3 linked regions of the Drosophila melanogaster genome follow. The protein of the gene in region 2 purifies or fractionates together with the protein of the main gene of each other region. This does not show direct contact. Each region holds a gene or a part of one and is shown on either strand. Other genes may lie near its edges.

Region 1 (5,009 bases), on a different chromosome or scaffold from region 2:
GCTACTTAAAGCGGAGCGGGAAACGTTTCGCCAACGAAACGAGCGCACCCGTCAACTTCTGAAGGAGATGAGAGAACAGCGGGAGGCACAGCAATGGGAGCTCCACAGCCAGCGACATCGACTGGAAAAAGAACGTCTGGAGCTACGAACCCTGGCACCTCAACATCTGGAACAGCGCGATCAAAAAAGACAAATAGAACGGCAGGTGGGGCTGCGGAATCAAATAACATTAAACAAGTATATTAATAAACCTTTTCACCCTTTTAAGGTGGAGCGCCGAATGTCCACACTGGTGTTGGAGCTACAGGAGATCTATAACATCCAGAATGTGGGCGGTCGGCAATTTAGTATCTGCGGCATCGCCTTCCCCCACATGGAGCAATACACGAGCGAGTCACGTCAGGCGGCAAACGCACAGCTTCTGGATAACGTCTCGCCGCTGGCAGTGAGTGCGGCACTGGGTTATGTTGCCCATTTGGTGCAGATGTTAGCCATCATTATGGATCGACCTCTGAGGAACCGTATTCTGTACGAGCCATCGAAAGCAAGGATAGTGGACGATATCAAAGAGTTGACGTACACAACAAGAGAGTAAGCACACAGACTAAATATTACCTTTTGGTATCTTATTGTTCCATCTTAGATTTCCTCTGTATACACGCTCCATTTTGCCGTCGCAGCAAACAAAGTATGCCATCTACCTTTTGCGCCAGAATGTTTCGCAGCTGTGCTTCGACATCACGGGCCAGTGCGATCTGCGAAACACTTTTGGCAATCTGCTGGAGCTATTCAGCACTCTTCGCTACATCGAACGAACGCAAAGGGATGAGGTCGACGAACGGGATGGAACTGCAGTTGGAGCTGGCTGTGGAGAAGCACGCTTGGCAAATGGGTTGACGGCGCCGCACCTGTCGCAATCGCACTCTTCGGTCGACATGAATCATGTGCCACTGCCGACTGGCGTCAATGCGGTCAAGGATGCACTGCTCCAGCAGCTGTTGCCGCCGGGTGTGAGTGAGGCACTGGCAATCGAAGGCTATGCGTCAACTCAACGGTAATCTATATATACATATATTTAGAGCCAAAAACAAAAACTACCGGATAAAATTTAATAATAATATATTGTAATATTCTTGCAGCATTTGCCGTTCGGTGGGGTCCTATTCAGATGGCGAGGATGAGTTTCGCCCGCGACTGGAGCATAACTATTCCAATTCGGACTCCAACATAACTCTGCAAACTGAGCGCAGCTGAGCTAATGCACCCAAAAGTGTTATATTTCCAGCGTTTATATCCAATATCCAAGATAGCATTGTTTAGCGGCTCCTCCTCAGCGGGTTTCTTGGTATTGGCCGCGTATTGTATACTTTTAAATTATAAAAGTCAATGGTGAAGTATATGTGAACGGTAGTCCATTGCGATAATATTATTTTTAGTTGTTTAAGATCTCTGTGTAAATTCCCTTTTATTGTTTGTTTGCTAATATAAGCTACGAATAAAGATTAAATATTTTATACATGACAAATATTTATTTAATATGGATGACAAACATTAGAAACACGTCGATAGAGATTAAGTCGAACAATATCCAAGGTCACAATAAACGAAGTGGTTACGATGCGGAAAACCTAAGCCTTTCTTCATATGTTCTGAAATAATGCTGAGCCCCAAAATTAGTTTATTTGTATATTCTGTTTGAAAAGTATTTTTATGAGTTTTAATTATAGTTTGAATTAGGCGCCAAAAAGTGTTGCAAAGTATGAAGATAAATTGCTCCTTTAACTTATAAAAATTATACCATGTGCTACTGTTACTACATAATATTGTACAATCTGCTTATATTAACTTTTGCTTTATAATTTAAAATGTAAGTTTTGCTTTAAATCCTTAATAAACTCAAAATATTACAGCCACTGCTTGGTCAGTGCTGCAAAACGTTCCGTTCCGTTAACAGTGGTCTGTAAAGCCAGCTGATTAGCATTTCGCCAAAATTATTTCGCTGGCAACTTGCTTCCGGGATTTGAATGTTTTTCGGGCTACATCCGGGCTATTAATAAATAAAAAATGTGTTGTCAAATACCCAAACAACGTCCAAACGTAGTGCGATAATCGATTTAATAATTGAAAACGCGAAAAGCCTGCAAACCAACGTGCTAAATGAAGTGCATGTGCATATGTGTGTGTGGCCCGGGCCTTGGCCTTTTATTTATCGAATTCGTATCAATTAAATTAAAACGCTGAGCAATAGTAGGCAATTGGTATTTATGGTGACGATTTGGTAGCCGGCAACTGTAGCCACTGATAAGCGGACGACGGGGAATGCCTGTGATTTACGCGTATATATAGTGTGTTTACCCTACCTGTTTACCGCTCAAATAAAAAATAAAAGAATAAAACTCCAGGTGTGATAAGGAGCAGCCGTCGTTCACGCCTGAAAATTGCTCAATGGAAACGTGGCAATAAGACTAACTGAGTACCCAGCATTTAATTTTTCTGAGATAATATCATCTGAAAGTGAGAGTAAAACTGCATTTCTGGTGCTAATTAGTTAAATTCAGGCGCCAAAACTCTTTCGAACAGCTCTTTTAATCAAAACTTATTACTTTAAGCTGACTACGCTTGCTCTCTTTTAAGCTCTCTTGTTTTGAAAATGGCTGAGAGCAATGTACCGCTACGAGATTTCGACGAAGAGAGCGAAACGGATTCGGAGACCGAATTGCTCATACGCCGCGATGTACCGAGCGGTAAACAGAACAACAACAACATTAGGGGGCGACGCAAAAGCTCCATGGGCTACAGCGGCGTCGACGCCGGCGCTGGCAGCTCTGCCGCCGGCGGCGGAGGCAGCTTTCTGGGCAATCTTTTCGGATCCAACAGTTTTGGCTCTGCCGCCGGCCAGATACGTTATAGAAATGAGCGGAGTCGCGAGCGCGCCAAACACTCAAACGGTAGCTACAGCAGCATTTCGAAACTGGCGCAATTAACGCACACGTCATCGGGCGTCGCGGGGGCGGGATCGATCGGTGGCGGTGGTGGTGGGAGTGGCAGTGCCACCGGCATTAAAGTAACCACTGGCGATGGCAGTGTAGCGGCATCTGGAGGATCTGCTGCCACGGGGGATCTCAGCAATGGCGCTACGCACAGCACAACCGTCATAGATCCGGAAAATGGCTCATCCACGGTCTTCTACCAGCACAATCGGCGTAAAAGCAAGAGTCGCAGCATTGGCAACGTCTGCAAGTTGTGCCTCTGCAGGTGAGTGTGCATTCGGTGCGATCCAGTCGTTACCCTCCAATGCCAACGCTGCGTATGCGCAATATTTCCATTTCACTGCTGCAATAGTTGGCGGCAGCGGGAGTAATGCGAAAGTATATAGTGCCGCAACAGCTGTTCACTGGCCAGCAAAATATTGGGAATTCAAGTGTTACCTTTAGGGAAAATGGTTAAATGTTTTATATTTTCGCACATAAGCGTTTAATGGCGATTGAGACCCTTTTACTTTTACCACAAGGTATTGAATAAATTATAACTATAGCAGGAAGCAAAAGTTTTAATCTATCACATTAAGACCTCGAAAATTTGTATATTTTTGAAGAAATATTATCTCTTATCGCTTCAATTTAAATGTCTTATGAAATAAATTAGTTTTGTGGAATTTTATAATCTGTGTTTCCGTAGATAGTTGACTTTGAACGTAGAATACCATTGCTCATAAAATGCTGACAACACTAGGTATAAAACTGTTTTTCATCGTAAACTTCTATAAATAATTGAAATGTATATTAAATATTTGGCAAGAAAAAACGTTGACCTCTGTAACGTTCTAGACATTCTATCACTTTCGCAACTCAACAGTTGTTATGGCAAACAAGTTGTTGTTTTGTTTCTGCCACTTGAAATATTTGTTTATTATTTTTTGGCATGAGCCAAATCATTGTGTGGTTTCCCAAAATGAGCAGCGTTGTCTTGCAATTTGATGTTCTTCTTAACTTAGAACTTTTACGAAACACATTTCCAAGAAAATAAATTCTAGCTGAATGTGTGAGAATTTGTGCGCCACACATGTGTGACATACACAATGAATGCAACTGTATGTAAAGCATATATGTATAGCATATATATATAACGATTCCAAGATATATTTTTAATTTACCTAATTAGAGAGAACTTTTGAGAAAGGCCGCACATGCGAACAAGCAAGCACGTCTGTAAGTGGATCGTAGAAAGAAAATTAAAAACATTTCGTTTTCTGCGCGCCGTCGACGGACTGTGCAAATCGATAAACGTGACGACTTCCAAGACTGGGGGAAAAGATTTCGACGAATGGAAAATAATAACAAAAACACGGCTATAAATAGTGGCCAAGACGAGCGACTTGGTTGGGTGACAAGGCATAAACGAAACGCAAACATTGCCATCCATGCCCCGCCTTTCCTTGCCATTTCCTTGCTCCACACCCACTAAGCGAGCGTTTTTCTTATTATTTTGTTTTGTTTTTGTTTTAGAGTACAAACTCTTGTTGCCGCAAAACTTTGGCCAAAAATATCACACACAACACCACCCGTTAGCTGTGCATTTTTAATCGATGTTTGCCGTGCGACTTTAAGCCCCATTGGTGGGCGAACGAAAATAAGAAACATGAACGAAAACGACTCAAGAAGTCACCAAGAAATGCTAAAAAATTCGAAAACCAGTTCCTCAGCTGGTTTTGGCCACACAACACAATCTTGTATTCAAGGTTTCTAAAAAATACAAACGAGTTGCACACAAGAAGTGAGTCGCTTTAGGGTTTTTAGTTTTACTTTTTCGGTCGGACTCTGCTTTCTGTGTTAAAAATTGAAAGTTTCTCTGCCGCCCAACTTCAAATAATTGCAGCATAGATCTGCAGATTGATATGGTTATTTAAACTTCTAAATTTTCTATGTTGACAAAGCGTTTCCTTATGTGAACATCTATTTGTCACTTGAATGTGAAAAAAGTAAACATTGACAAATACTGATATAGAAATC
Region 2 (4,971 bases):
TATGCACAGAATGTTGTACAAAGTACTCGAAAGTGGGCATTTCGATAAGCCAAATTAGACGCACTGTTGATTTATTGATCGGCAATTTGTAGAAAGATTTATTAAGCAGGAATTAAAGTAATTTTAAGATTGGGTAAATCTTTTTGCTACGTAAGTGTGAAGTGCAGCACTGAAAACAATTTTAGCATTCTTATAGATTTTGCGATGTGAACGCTTTTGAATTTTATTATGTGAGTATTCCCATTTAATAGGTGCGTTTCACTCACATAAAGTTACGACATTTAAAACCAAAATGGCAATCAATTAATTATATTAATGGCAAAAATTGCAGTTGACCCACAAACGAAAAGAGTCATTTGTTCTCCACGGCGACAACGTGGCGACGATTAACCCGGTTCTTTTTCCCGACCTCCGGGAACGGAAGGCGGACGGAGGTGCTCTGGAAAAAGGGCGGCGCAGAGAAAGGCAAAGTAAGAGACGGAGCTGGGCGTTGGGTGGTCCAACCTGGTTGAGTTCCACGAGAACGGAGAACAGAGTGAAAAATATACAAAAGAATTTCATCAGGCTGGCAGAAAGGTGAATACTATATATGCATTTGCAAACATTGCATGGATGTGTCAGCTAAAAATATATCCACCTGAATTTCTCCAATTTGCATGAAGTGGCGTCGATAAACAAATAACAAAATCAAATTTCAATGGATACGGTACGGTGGATGCGGGAAACCCTTTTTCCTGCATAGCAAGTGAAAACCGTGTCAAGGTCACATGTACATGATTCTACTCTTGGAAAGCCAGCAGCTCAGGCAACTTTGAGATTAGAATATGGTATCGTTGGAGAAGCAGAATGTAGTAGTTATCTGGACCTAGGTTAACCTACTTTAGTTGCAGTCGTAAATCAAAGCCAGCTTGCATGGTGGTCGGAGCAAACATAACCCACTTTTGGCCCCATTTTCGGCTGCATTTCAGTTTTGGGCGGTAGTCAATGTGCTTACCCACAAATCAAATTGGCCAGTATCAAATATTAAATGCTGCTGCTCAAATATTCACCACTGAAACTGAACCAAATCAACTGAATAAATATGGTACATATTCGTATAGCTAAACAAATCAGAGCAGCGACGACGAGCTGTTCTGTGTGCTTTAATTTGTTTGCCACAAAATTATATTAGCACATATTGATTTTCCCCTCCTCCTCGATCTCACTCAATTTTCGCTGATGACTGACTGGGAGCCGAGAACAAAAAGAGTTGGAAAGTCACTTGGGTGAGTGCCTGACCTTTAAATCGAATTATTTCAGCCACACCGAGCAGGCATTTAAAGTGATTTAATTAGGCCCGGAATACAAGAGTTTTATGCAACAGTGAAAATCGCTGCAACATACAATATCTCAGAACCGATACAGAAAGAAAATCGAACATAATTTGCAAGACTTAATGAGGAAAAATAAACCTATATGGGAAGATTTAGAATCTATAAAATCTGAAAGATATTACGCTTTAACAAATAAAAACCTGCTATTTAATAGCTGTACTGCCTATTTGTTTTTCAAAAGTAATTTAAATAAAATAATTCAAACATAGCAAATTAGCCTTCATATTTATTTGGCTTGATAAGGAAAAAGATCGGGATTTCCACGCCAGAATTTAAACAACTGCTGTGAGTCAGAAAGAATTTCATATCAAATAACCAGCGAGAACCGATGATTAAGTCAAAACAACCGGTTTTCGAGGATGGGAAATCGCGGGAAGGGGCCATAAATCAAGTATAACAAGTCCTAGACGAAAGGAACTCAAAAGCAAGCGCAGATTAAGATCGATTGTTGAAATGCAGATATGCTCAGCTACTACCTGACCACGCCCACACCCGCCCAGTTCGGTGACCCACGTGCAACAATAACAGACATGCTGATGCAGGTCTCCTGCAGGCAAATCCCCTACGTAAGATAATGGATATCATTTCCGAGATTATGTTTAACTAAGAAAAGAGATATAACACTCTTACAATCTATTTTTTGAAGTTTCATTAAAAATTGATAATGAGGCTAAGAATAATAGGTGTATTTAACTTACCTTAGCTTTAAGTCTGGAAATCGGTTCTTTGGTTGTTAAGGTTCCTAAGCTCCAATTGAAGAGGCTAAATTCAAAATACACATAATTGAAAATTAATAAAAAACCAAATCCAGTGTATACGGAGAGTATAGGACTTTAATAATTATTTGACTGAATATATGTATACTTTATAAAACTTTCGCTGCACTGTTGATAAAAATAAAACACGATATCTTTACTATTTTCGCAATTAAAACAGGGAAAACGCTTAAAAATGTTTACAAATGTATAAGTCACTTTGGTTTGACGATTTAGATAAGTTGATAAGTTGACTTTTTATCAACCATACAAATGCAAATTAAGATTCTTTGTATTTCCCCTGTTTGTGGCTAGCCGATATTCACTGTATTAACAAGGACGCAAGTGGGAGCGGGGAGAGCGGTGCACGGGCAGTGTTGCTGTTGTTTTGCGATAAAAAGAGTGGAGAAAGAAAAGAAAATAACTTCCAATTTTCGCCGTTGTTGGCTTTGTTGCTGCAAGAGCAAAGTGTCGACTGAAAAGTTGGCAAAATAAAATAGTGAAAATAGCATGGGCATCTTGGATTTTGCAGAAATTCCTTTGCTTCTCCTTTTTCCGCCTCAATTGGGGGTGGCACGCATACATACAAACAGAGTGTGTACATACATACACGTATGTATGCAAGTTAATTGTGCACAGTCACAATGGTCGAAAGAGAAGAAAGGGTGCGGGTCGGGAAAATCGAGAACGATTCACAATTGCACGTGCACTGGTCGCGATTTCCGTATATCGCCTCACTACTCCGCCGTAAATTACCGATTGGGCTGCCTGCCTTCTTGGTTGCTTTTTGCCGCACTTGGAGCGGAGCGAACAGCACAGACACAGATGTACAGCGCGGGTCCACGAATTTTTAATAAATAATTATTTTCCCGACTCAGTGTGACTGCAGCCACAGTCATCGAAAATCCATCCGGGCAGTTGGAAAATACCAATAATATATCGATAATATTTGTGCAGCTCTATCGGGTTAACAATAATGACTATCGACCGTTACAAGCGGTCTTTCAAAAATAAGTTTGAAAACTAGTAAATGTAGTAGAAACCAAAATAGGAGCCAGTAATGTAATTGAAATAAAAAACTGGCAGGCTTTTGATACATTTTGTCACTTTTAATACGAAATATTTTTGTGAAGGGCTACTTTACAATAAATCTATTTTTTTAGGCGTTACATTTCAATATAATGTAGCTTAAACTCTTTGTTTAACGCAAAACTACCAACAACTGCGTTTAACCCCTTTTAACCAACAAAAAGCTCGATGGCACTCAAGCTCAAAGTTGGTTTGTGTATTGGATGGGAAAGGTAAATGACTTACTAGTGATGTCGTGCCTTTATAAGGAAATTATCTAAAAAATAAAATATTTTGGCAAAAAAAAAGAATATATATATTTTCAGGGCAAAAGTGAGTTGTTAGTAGAAACATCCAACTTTAAAATCTTTTTTGAAGATAATATTCATGGCTAAAGCGGCATCACTGACCACGATCATTGGGGATTTCGTTAGTAGCGCGTTTACCGGCCGAGGAAACAGGTGTACAAAGAAACAAAGCCATCATAAAATCGGTAATTCCAAAGTGACTACCCCCATAATCAATTCAGAAATCAGCGGAATTATATTGAGCACGTTTCAGCATTTAGTTTAACTCAAGACTTATTTCCATTTTTCGTCAAAAAGTCAATAAGACTTTTACCTATTTTACCTTTGCTGAATTCCCCGTGTGCGTGAAGTAGTGAGTGATAAGATTAGGCGAATGGGTAAATGTTCCCTACGTGATAACAGGCAATTGGAACTTGAAGAGAAAATAAAGTGAATAAAGTGTAAATAAAAGAAACCAAATTTAGTAAATTAGTCACTGTGAATGGAAGGGAGTTAGTACGAGCTCCACATACGCAAATCTATATGTGCGACAAATGACAGTCATCGGCAGTGCCCGTAAACAAATTATGATAAAAAAGATAAATCTATTATACGAACAGAGGAGATATGCTCATATGAGCAGCTTCCGGCTTTCGTACCGCTTAAACTGAAATGTCCAGTGGAAAATTATCTAAATTGGACTGCGAGTGCTACCGAACCTGTCTCTGATATTGTTATTGTTATGGTTGTTGGCATAATGATAGTGGCAATGATATGTAGGCATATTGTATGGGGAGAAAATATGTAAAACACATATAGTATATAGTATGCCGTACAGAATAAATTGCCATTTTCGAACAACTTCTAAAATGTAAAATTCGTTAATAACCCTAAAGTAAACAACGATAAGGAGAGTACAAAGGTGAGCGTAAGGCTGAGATTTATATGGCCATAGATTGGACTAGCGTGGCAAACGTTGTAATGTGGCTAAAACAGCGGGCTTCAAATTTGGTAATATATCAAAATTCGATAGCTGTGAACGTGATCTTCCTGAAAATCTGGATCAGGCAACTTGTAAATGGCGTTAGAACAAAAGATCAGATGAGCACACAATTAGTCGTGGGTTTTGTGTCTACAACACAGGCCATTGTCACTAGTTATCCGCTTGGGTCATTGGCATTAAAATGGTAGTCAAAGTAGAACAAAAAGCTAAAAAAAAGTATTGGCTGTTGCACAGAAAGCTTCCCCTCTCGCTCGCAAATGACGTCACACAGGTGAAATGCATTGCACTGAATTTATTTCCATTCGTTTCAGTTTTGGTTTTAATTCGGTTTTCTCTCGTCGGTCATTAATTGGCAGACATGCAACTATTGCAGCATGGCCATTGTAATATATACACATGTACACATATGTACATATATCCGGTATAATGCTCCTATATTCATTGGGCAATTGGAGTGGTCAGCGGGCTGCGTGAGGAAATATTAA
Region 3 (7,803 bases), on a different chromosome or scaffold from region 2:
TCTTCTCCTGCAGCTGCTCTAAATTGAACTGTGGCCAACGAAACCGCATCCGCCCTTCCGCTGCACTCACCGTCTACCTGTTGCACTCACTCACCTTTGGGTTTTGGTTTCGTCTGATTCTGAGCGTTTAATCTGCACTTTGCCCACCAAGTCACCTAATGATTTAGAAAGCAAACAGAGAAACGCTCTCTTTCGCTATTTTCTCACTAATTTTACGAATTATTTTCTGCTCCTGTTTAGTCGCACACCTTTAAAGTGAGAATATCGTTTGCCTAATATCACTTAAATTCGTAAATAACATGTTAAAATGTGTGTTTTCCATTCGAGTTGAATGTTCCAAGTTTTTCCATCTTTGTTTTGATTTGCTTACTTTCCATTGCGAATCAGATCAGCTGTTTAGGAGGCCTCTGCATGTTCACTGCCACAGACAGAGTTGCCACAACGACTTTTGAAAAGTCTTTTGCGGGAATCGAATTTGAAATTGAATGAATGGTTAATAATAAAAAGCAATACTAAAACATAAGCTCGTGGCAATTAAAATATCGATTTACTTGTTATTTATTTCGTTTTTATCATGTTTAAAATACAATAAATGTTATTCCTTTAAATATATTTGTCGATCCTGGTTTGAATGCACAAAATTATATTTCGTTCGATTCGGACAACGTTTACATCCTGTTTTCCCCGCAGGGAGAGGCGGCCGTTAGGGCCGTATATACACACATATGTATTAAACATATGAAAATTTGAGTAACGAAAATATTCTATTGGAATTTGGGTGTGATTGGGATGGCATTTGGATCGCATCCATACAACATATCAAATTCTAACGAGGCAGACTTTTGTCTTCGGGAGAAGAGTTTTGATTAAAATCACAATATGTATAGAATTATATACCCGGATAACTCTATTGTACACATAAATGTATATCTGTATAAATGGATATCTATGTGTTAAACATATACTTCAAAATTTCGGTAAGATGAAAAATAATGATAACGAGTAGCTGAAGCATCCATCGTTCCTTTCTTGGCTTGGTCGACATGAATGGACTTGGTCTGAAGAGGATTGGGATTGCGATATCTTAGGCGGGAGCCACGTTTGCCAGCTCCCGGTAGGCATCCTGCAGCGCCTGCTGCTGTTCCGGGCTCAAGGTGCTGGCACAAGCAGCCATTACCTCCGGATTCGATTCCACTTGTTTGACGATAGTGAGCATACGAGTGCCGGTGGCGGACTGCGCCTCAACCACCTTGGTGCAGAAGGATTCAGCGATGATGGAGACAATGCGCGGCAGATTGCCGTTGTTTGCCCCAAGAATGACCGGATGGTTGCCTTCAATCAAGTCGCATAGGTAGCCATAGATGTGGGCGGCTTCTTCCGAATCCTCGGACACCGGCAGCCATGAGAACCAAACACCGATCAGCTCGTCCACGTTGCTCAGCGCCGAGTTGTTGTACTTGAGGATCTTAGCAAACGCCGAGATCGCATTCTCTGTCGGACTGATGTTCTCGATTTCGCGGGCTTTGGGATCGTTGATGACCTGCACCAGCAGTGGAATGATCTGGGCGCATGTATGCGCAAACTGCTCACCAGCGAATTGGCCGAGCACCCCGCATCCGTAGGCAGCCGCCTGGCGCACTTCTGGGGCCTTATCGCACACGTACTGGACGAGGGCTGGCGTAAAGATCTGCTGGTATGGAGCACAAGCGGGGCCACAAAATTCTGTAGGTAAATGAGAATACAAGTCTTTAGTTTTATGGTGGCACAAATGATTTGATGTTTGAAGGTATCGGCGGTACTATTGAACTGCAAAACTCAATTAAGAAAACCAACTCACCGATCAGATCATCGAACACGCATAAGCCCCACTGCCGATCAGCTACAGGTCGGCTGGGCTCCAGTAGCTTGACAAAGTGCGGAGCCACCTGTTCAAAGGCGGGTAAGAACTGAGCCTTGTTGGTCTGGAAAAGGGCGTGTGTAATGTCCACGATTTTGGAAAGGATGTAAACATCTGTGTCGTCCTGCTCGGCCAGCTCCTCCTCCACACCGTCGTCGTAGTCTTCCTCATTGCGAGCCGCCAAACGCTTGTCAGCACGCTCGAAATGCTCCAGAACATACTTGTTTATAATCTCGAGAACTTGTTTCATGGCATCCTCGTTAAGGCAATTCGGACCCAATGTCTCAATGCATTTTGCCAGCGAATTCAGCAGCTCCGACTGCACGTCTGGCTCCGGTTCCGTGACGATTACCTTGAGCAGCTCCGGACAAATGAACATCCACATGCCCTCCAGATACTGTGGACCCTTAATTTTTGCGCAGTCGAGAAGGTAAGGCAGCGACTCAGCAGCAGCTGTGCGGACACCGTCGTGGAAGTAGAACTTAAGCATGGGCAGCATTTGACGCACCACGTCCTCAGCGTATTCGGCAAATCCTTCCTTTAGTTCCCTAGCATAACAAACCAGCATCTCACAGGCCGAAGCCTTGTCGTCCATGCCAGCCGTGCGAATGGCGAAGTTCTGCTGCTCGCCAAGATTAATGAAAGACCAGTCCACATCACCGTCGATGTCCTCCACCTCGTCGTTGTCCAGCATCGCCACCTCAGGCTTCATGGTGGCCGTTCGCATCACTGGTCCCATAACGAGGGGCAGATATTGCTCAAATTGCTTGCCAAGGATTTTGCACATACGTGCCCAGGCAGTGATGAGATAGGAGGTCTGCGGATCATCATCAGCTAGTTCCCCCCCCTCGGTGTGATTGACCAGCAGCATATCCATGACTTCTCCGGCATCACCAATAAACTTCTCCCGCCCCACCGCCAATCCTATCAAGCTCACGCATTCAATGGTCTTGCCGCGAAGCATGCGGAGATCATCCGAGTTGGCGTTCTGGATGATGAACTTAAGGCATGGCATTAGGCGATCGTAGTAGGCCACAAATTCCGATTCGCAGGTGTCTGCAACCGATGCAATTGTCGTCACTACCTGCTCCAGTACCAGCTTGTTTCCCTTCTCCACCAGCTCCTTGAACTTCGAGTTCAGAATAGTCTCCAGCTTGGCCATGATCCCGTCCAGGTAGCGTGTCAATATATTTTTCGGGCAGTCCTCGCTGAAGTTCACCAGAGCGGCACCTGCGTGTGCTTGCACTCGCGGATTTTCCACGTCATCCAAAAGAGACAAGAGGCCGGGAATCACCTGGCGAAACAAGGGAAAATTGTTAAGCATTTAATTAATTTCAATTGCTTATTAGAAAGTTGATAAAGCAGTTGCAATTTAAGACTCACCTGGCTGTGGAACTTCTTCTCGAAGGTCTGTGCAAAGTCGGTGGACATTTGGCCAATGGCGTTGCAAGCGGCGTATCGAACGCGAGGATGAGGATCGCTCAGGAAGTTCAGGACTCCGGACATTACCTCATCTAGGATGGCTTCCATCTGCTTGTGACAACCCTCACCGATGGCCGAGATGGCCATGAGGGCTGCGAAGCGATGTTTCCAATCGGCATGACCCAACATAACCGGCAGAGCGTTCATTACGAGCGGAAGCACAATCTTTCCTCCCAATCCACAGGCGAGGCGATCCAGCGAGGACTCGGCGATCACGTTGTTGTCGCTGTGATCGTCATCATCGACCACGTCGGCGGTGGACCAGTTCTCGTCATCATCCAAATCCGTCATCATATGGAGAATCAGCGGGATCAGGGCCACGATATACTTGTCCGCTCGCTTGCGTATCATCGACGGGGCGTTCTCGGCGAGCGACACCATAACTTCCAACACTAGGTGACGCCAGCTGTCCTCAAAGTCCTGCGAGCTGAAAACCTTCATGCAGACCTCAAAAATGAACTCCAGCTGGGGACGCAGGAACTTCGGGCAATTCTCGGTCATCTCAATCAGGAGCTTTAGCAGACTCTGATCATCCTGGGCCTCGATGGTCTCGCCAGTGATGTGGATCATGCGGGGCAGCATATCAGCGAAGTGCTTGTGGATGGCCGTCTCGTTCTCCTTGTCGTGGTAGAGGATGAAGGCTCCGACGGCTCGCACGGCCTGTACTCGGACCTCCGGATCGGATCCAGCGTCCATGCTCTTGGCAAGCATCTGCTTGATCAGATCAATGTACTGAGCTTCCTGGTTTCCAAATATGGAAGGCACACTAGAGAAGATCCGCAGTGCCGATTCCTGCAGCTGCGGCGTAGGCGAGTTAGCGCATTGAAAGAGAAACTGCAAGATGTCGGGCCACTGGTTGTTGCAGTCCTCGTCGATCAGATTCCTGGCCACCTCGGCAACTACCTCGCAAATCTTGCGACGCAGCTGCGGCGTCACCTCCTGCTGCACGGCCAAAAGGATCTGCTGAAGCAATTGGTTCTGGGATTCAGCTGGAAGCTGCAAATGAGGTAATATTAGAAAGATGCTCAGAGGGCGATTCTCTGCGCGGCTTTATGCCTACCCCTTTGTAGAAATCAAAGAACTCGGTGGTAAACAGGCGGCGCAGCAACACGGCGGCCATCTGTCGAGCCTCCTCCGACTGCTGGCCATTTTGGATGTTGCCCAGGAGATGCGTCACCTTCAGCTCTCTTGAAAGATTGTTGTATGCTTCCTGGAATTAAAAATGGTTTTTGTACATATCCATTCGATGTAATTTTAAAATATATAAATATTATTTATATATGTAAATACAATTCCACCTTGACAACATTGGGCTCTGAAACAATTTAAAACGGATCTCGATTATTTCCATCTCTCAAGTGAAAAGCAAAGTCACAATTCTGAATAGGTATTTTTAGCAATCCAGGTGGAACTTTGGGTGGAAGCGGTACCATGCTTGCCATCTGCCCAAGGTCAACAGAGTGGGTGGGGTTTTCTGGCTGGTGTGGCGTGGGCGTGGCGGTGCCATGTGGCGCCGGAGCGAGACTTCGGAATCCGAGTGGCTTATCAACCGACAGATTGCATTTCTGGAACCGTGTGTCATGGATTTCGCACCTGCTCTTTGTTTCCGTTTGCGGCGGCAATCGGTAAACCGAATTGCCTACTACGAATTCTAATGGAAAATCATGTGGCGGCCATGCAAATTGCACAATTCGCTTCCATTTTGCTTTGTTTGCTTGCTTCGCACCGTCTGTCCGTCGGCTCTCCCTCGCACACATGCGAATGTCGGGGCAAAGCGGAGGGCGAAAACACGTTTTGTACGATGAATCAGATTCGTCTGAAATTTCGGCCGTAGGATTCGCACACCGACGTTTGTTCGTGTGTATACATACATATGTGCCGGGAGAAGATCTTATTGATGGCAGTCCGCCGTATATTTTTGCTCATGTGCAACCCATTGCGGGAATTGCGCATCGAAATTTCGAGGCGACGGCAATACGCTCTGCAAGATCCCCTGCCACGCCGTAATCGAGAATATTGGGACTCACCTCCGCCTGCTGGCGAACATCGTTGTCCGTGGACAAGAGGGAGGCCAGAAGCTGCTGGAAATGGGCCTGATCCGCTGCCATCTTATCCTGTCTGGTTCAAATGAATCGAAACACGGGAACTCGTGGAAACCACGATTTTCACTTCAGTCTTCACGCAACGGCGGCCGCCTAAAAAGAGCAGAACGGAACAACTGGCTGGGTTGCCAAGGTTCGCAAACAAGCGCACTGCACTCTTGGTCAGTTTTCGTGATTGCCGTGAATCTTGGGATGGTTGGTCTTTGGTGGGTGCTGCTGCTGCGCGGCCTATCCAACTTTCTTTTATTTAACTTTTTATGCAATTTAGTGGACACGCTGGAATCTCGCTAAAGCGCTAAGGCAATACTGCTCCGCCGTTATCGATAAAACGCGACTGCTTTTGGCGCGCAAGCGGCCGCCCGCACTAGTGATGCCCGATAGCTGGCGCGTTTGTAGAACCGTCAAAAACTCTAGCTAAAGTTTAACAGTTGATTATGATCTTTTAACGGAAATAGAACTGTGTTAGTGTGAGAACACAAAGTATTTCTAAAAATTACAATCTATTTCCAAAGACCGTAGGACTGAATGAATTGTGTGTATTTAAAAGAAAAAGTCAGGTAGCCTAGATTTAAATGGTTTGTTTCTTGTTTAAAATAACTATGTAAATTATATATATATATTGTAAGCTAGAAACAAGAAATGGCTTGAAACTCATTTAAATCTAATGGCATATTATTCCGAGTGCACCATTCACCGATTTGTGTGCAGGTTTTCTAAATACAATAACAATCATTGGTGAAAATGATGAAAGGCAAGGCTTTTCTTGAACCGAAAAGCTTAAAAAGAAGCTGCACATGGGCTGCGATCTAGACATGATAAGTAATATTTATTCAATTATTGTATTTACATATGTATTTCTTGCGATCATTTAAGACCCTAACACCTCGGAAGAAGCATTGCTGTTAATGTGCAGCTGTGAGGCCACTATAAGGTTGTTACAATTCGTTTCAAGGCAATTATTCGAAAGTAAAGGACCCCCAATGAAATTCTGAACAGACTCTAGATTATAAGATAGACTATAGATAATACACCGCTGTCGGTGTGTACTAAATGTTGATTATGTTGATTAAAACATTGAAGACATTAGTAAGGTGGTTGAGCTATGAAAATCATCGATTACTCTGAATTCATGTGCTAAGTTAACGGGCATCATAGACCTTCAAGATAGCATAAACGTGGAAGATGGTGTCCATATGGGCCTGATAAATAATATATATGAAATATATATCCAAAATTGGGTCGCATTTGAAGAGTTTAAGACATTCAGCTGAAGGATGTCCTTGCGGAAGACTCGACACAGATTGGAATCAATAAATTCAGCCGATTCTGAGTTATATAATGACATTATGACATCGAAGCCACTGTTGAAAATGTTCGGGAAGACTGACTCCGTCTTGGTTTTTATGTCAGCTATGTTTTGAAATTACCTAGTATGGCATATATTGAAAAATTTCTGCTAGACTAAGCATTAGTATAAATATGTATATAACTAGTTCAAACCACAATTTTTGGAACCATAAGAATTGTTCGCACTTACGAAATAGTGCTAATGGGTTATCCTTTAACCAGGCGCTTCAGATTGGTAAAGAGCCGCAACGTGAAGTGGTAGATCATTTCCACAAGACTCAAGATGGAGAACCCCATGAATAGACCGAAAATGCCACCGCAATTCGCCAGAAACTCGGTCATTCCGTAAAGCTCCGACCGCTTTGAAGTGATGAACTGACTCTGCTTGAAGTAAATGGACAAGCGGGACATCTGGGAGCCGGGATACTCCTTCAGGAACTCAGTGTCGCCCTCAGCCACTAGCATTTCTTCCAAATCAAAGTTGGCCTGGGAAATCTCCGTGTTGTAGACGAGGGATGTGCATGCTGGCATGCAGTTACAGGCAGATTCCACGCTCCGCGAATTTTCTCGGCCAGCGTTCAGCGCTTTTACTCTTTTGAATTCCCTGACTAACAACTCCCTTTCTGCCCGATCGTAGCAGTGGATCTTGTCCTCTCCGCATACAGGCATGTCCACGTTTCTGGGCATCGAGAACTTAACGCATCCGCACTTGGTCAGCGTGAAGTTGGCCAAGCACTCCAGTTGGCAATTTGATTCGGTGTACACCTTAAAAAAACGCAGCGACCGCTCGTGGCTGAGGAAGCACTGCCTCCGAACTGGATGGTACTCTGCTATTCCCGACGACATGGTGATCATGTTGGGCTTCACTGCGATCAGCACCTCCTTGCCCATGGGAATGCGCACAAACTGTTTGGAAACCTGCGGGACGTCATCGGGCGCATGAAGCAGTACCTGTAGATTGGCATTACTGTAGAC

Evidence for each region. Proteins that work in one complex are often made in the same cells at the same time.
Region 1: the proteins of ZnT63C (region 2) and CG31729 purify together in Drosophila melanogaster (affinity purification with mass spectrometry, with the first as the bait; one large-scale study listed by BioGRID). This does not show direct contact.
Region 3: the proteins of ZnT63C (region 2) and Karybeta3 purify together in Drosophila melanogaster (affinity purification with mass spectrometry, with the first as the bait; one large-scale study listed by BioGRID). This does not show direct contact.

What each region holds. Positions count from the first base shown.
Region 1 is NT_033779.5:13,288,037-13,293,045, forward strand, and holds the start of CG31729 (uncharacterized protein), read left to right. Parts: upstream 1-1,960; 5' UTR 1,961-2,650; coding exon 2,651-3,255; intron 3,256-4,972; exon of another isoform or gene 4,973-5,009. Other genes in the region: Uvrag (UV-resistance associated gene), read left to right, coding at 1-205, 269-591, 644-1,054, 1,140-1,254.
Region 2 is NT_037436.4:3,301,766-3,306,736, reverse strand, and holds the start of ZnT63C (zinc transporter 63C), read right to left. Parts: upstream 3,030-4,971; 5' UTR 2,885-3,029; exon of another isoform or gene 2,464-2,884; intron 2,136-2,463; 5' UTR 2,072-2,135; intron 1-2,071.
Region 3 is NT_033777.3:4,647,371-4,655,173, reverse strand, and holds Karybeta3 (karyopherin beta 3), read right to left. Parts: upstream 5,999-7,803; 5' UTR 5,488-5,998; coding exon 5,407-5,487; intron 4,590-5,406; coding exon 4,440-4,589; intron 4,376-4,439; coding exon 3,281-4,375; intron 3,192-3,280; coding exon 1,838-3,191; intron 1,723-1,837; coding exon 1,085-1,722; 3' UTR 550-1,084; downstream 1-549. Other genes in the region: rpk (ripped pocket), read right to left, coding at 7,036-7,779.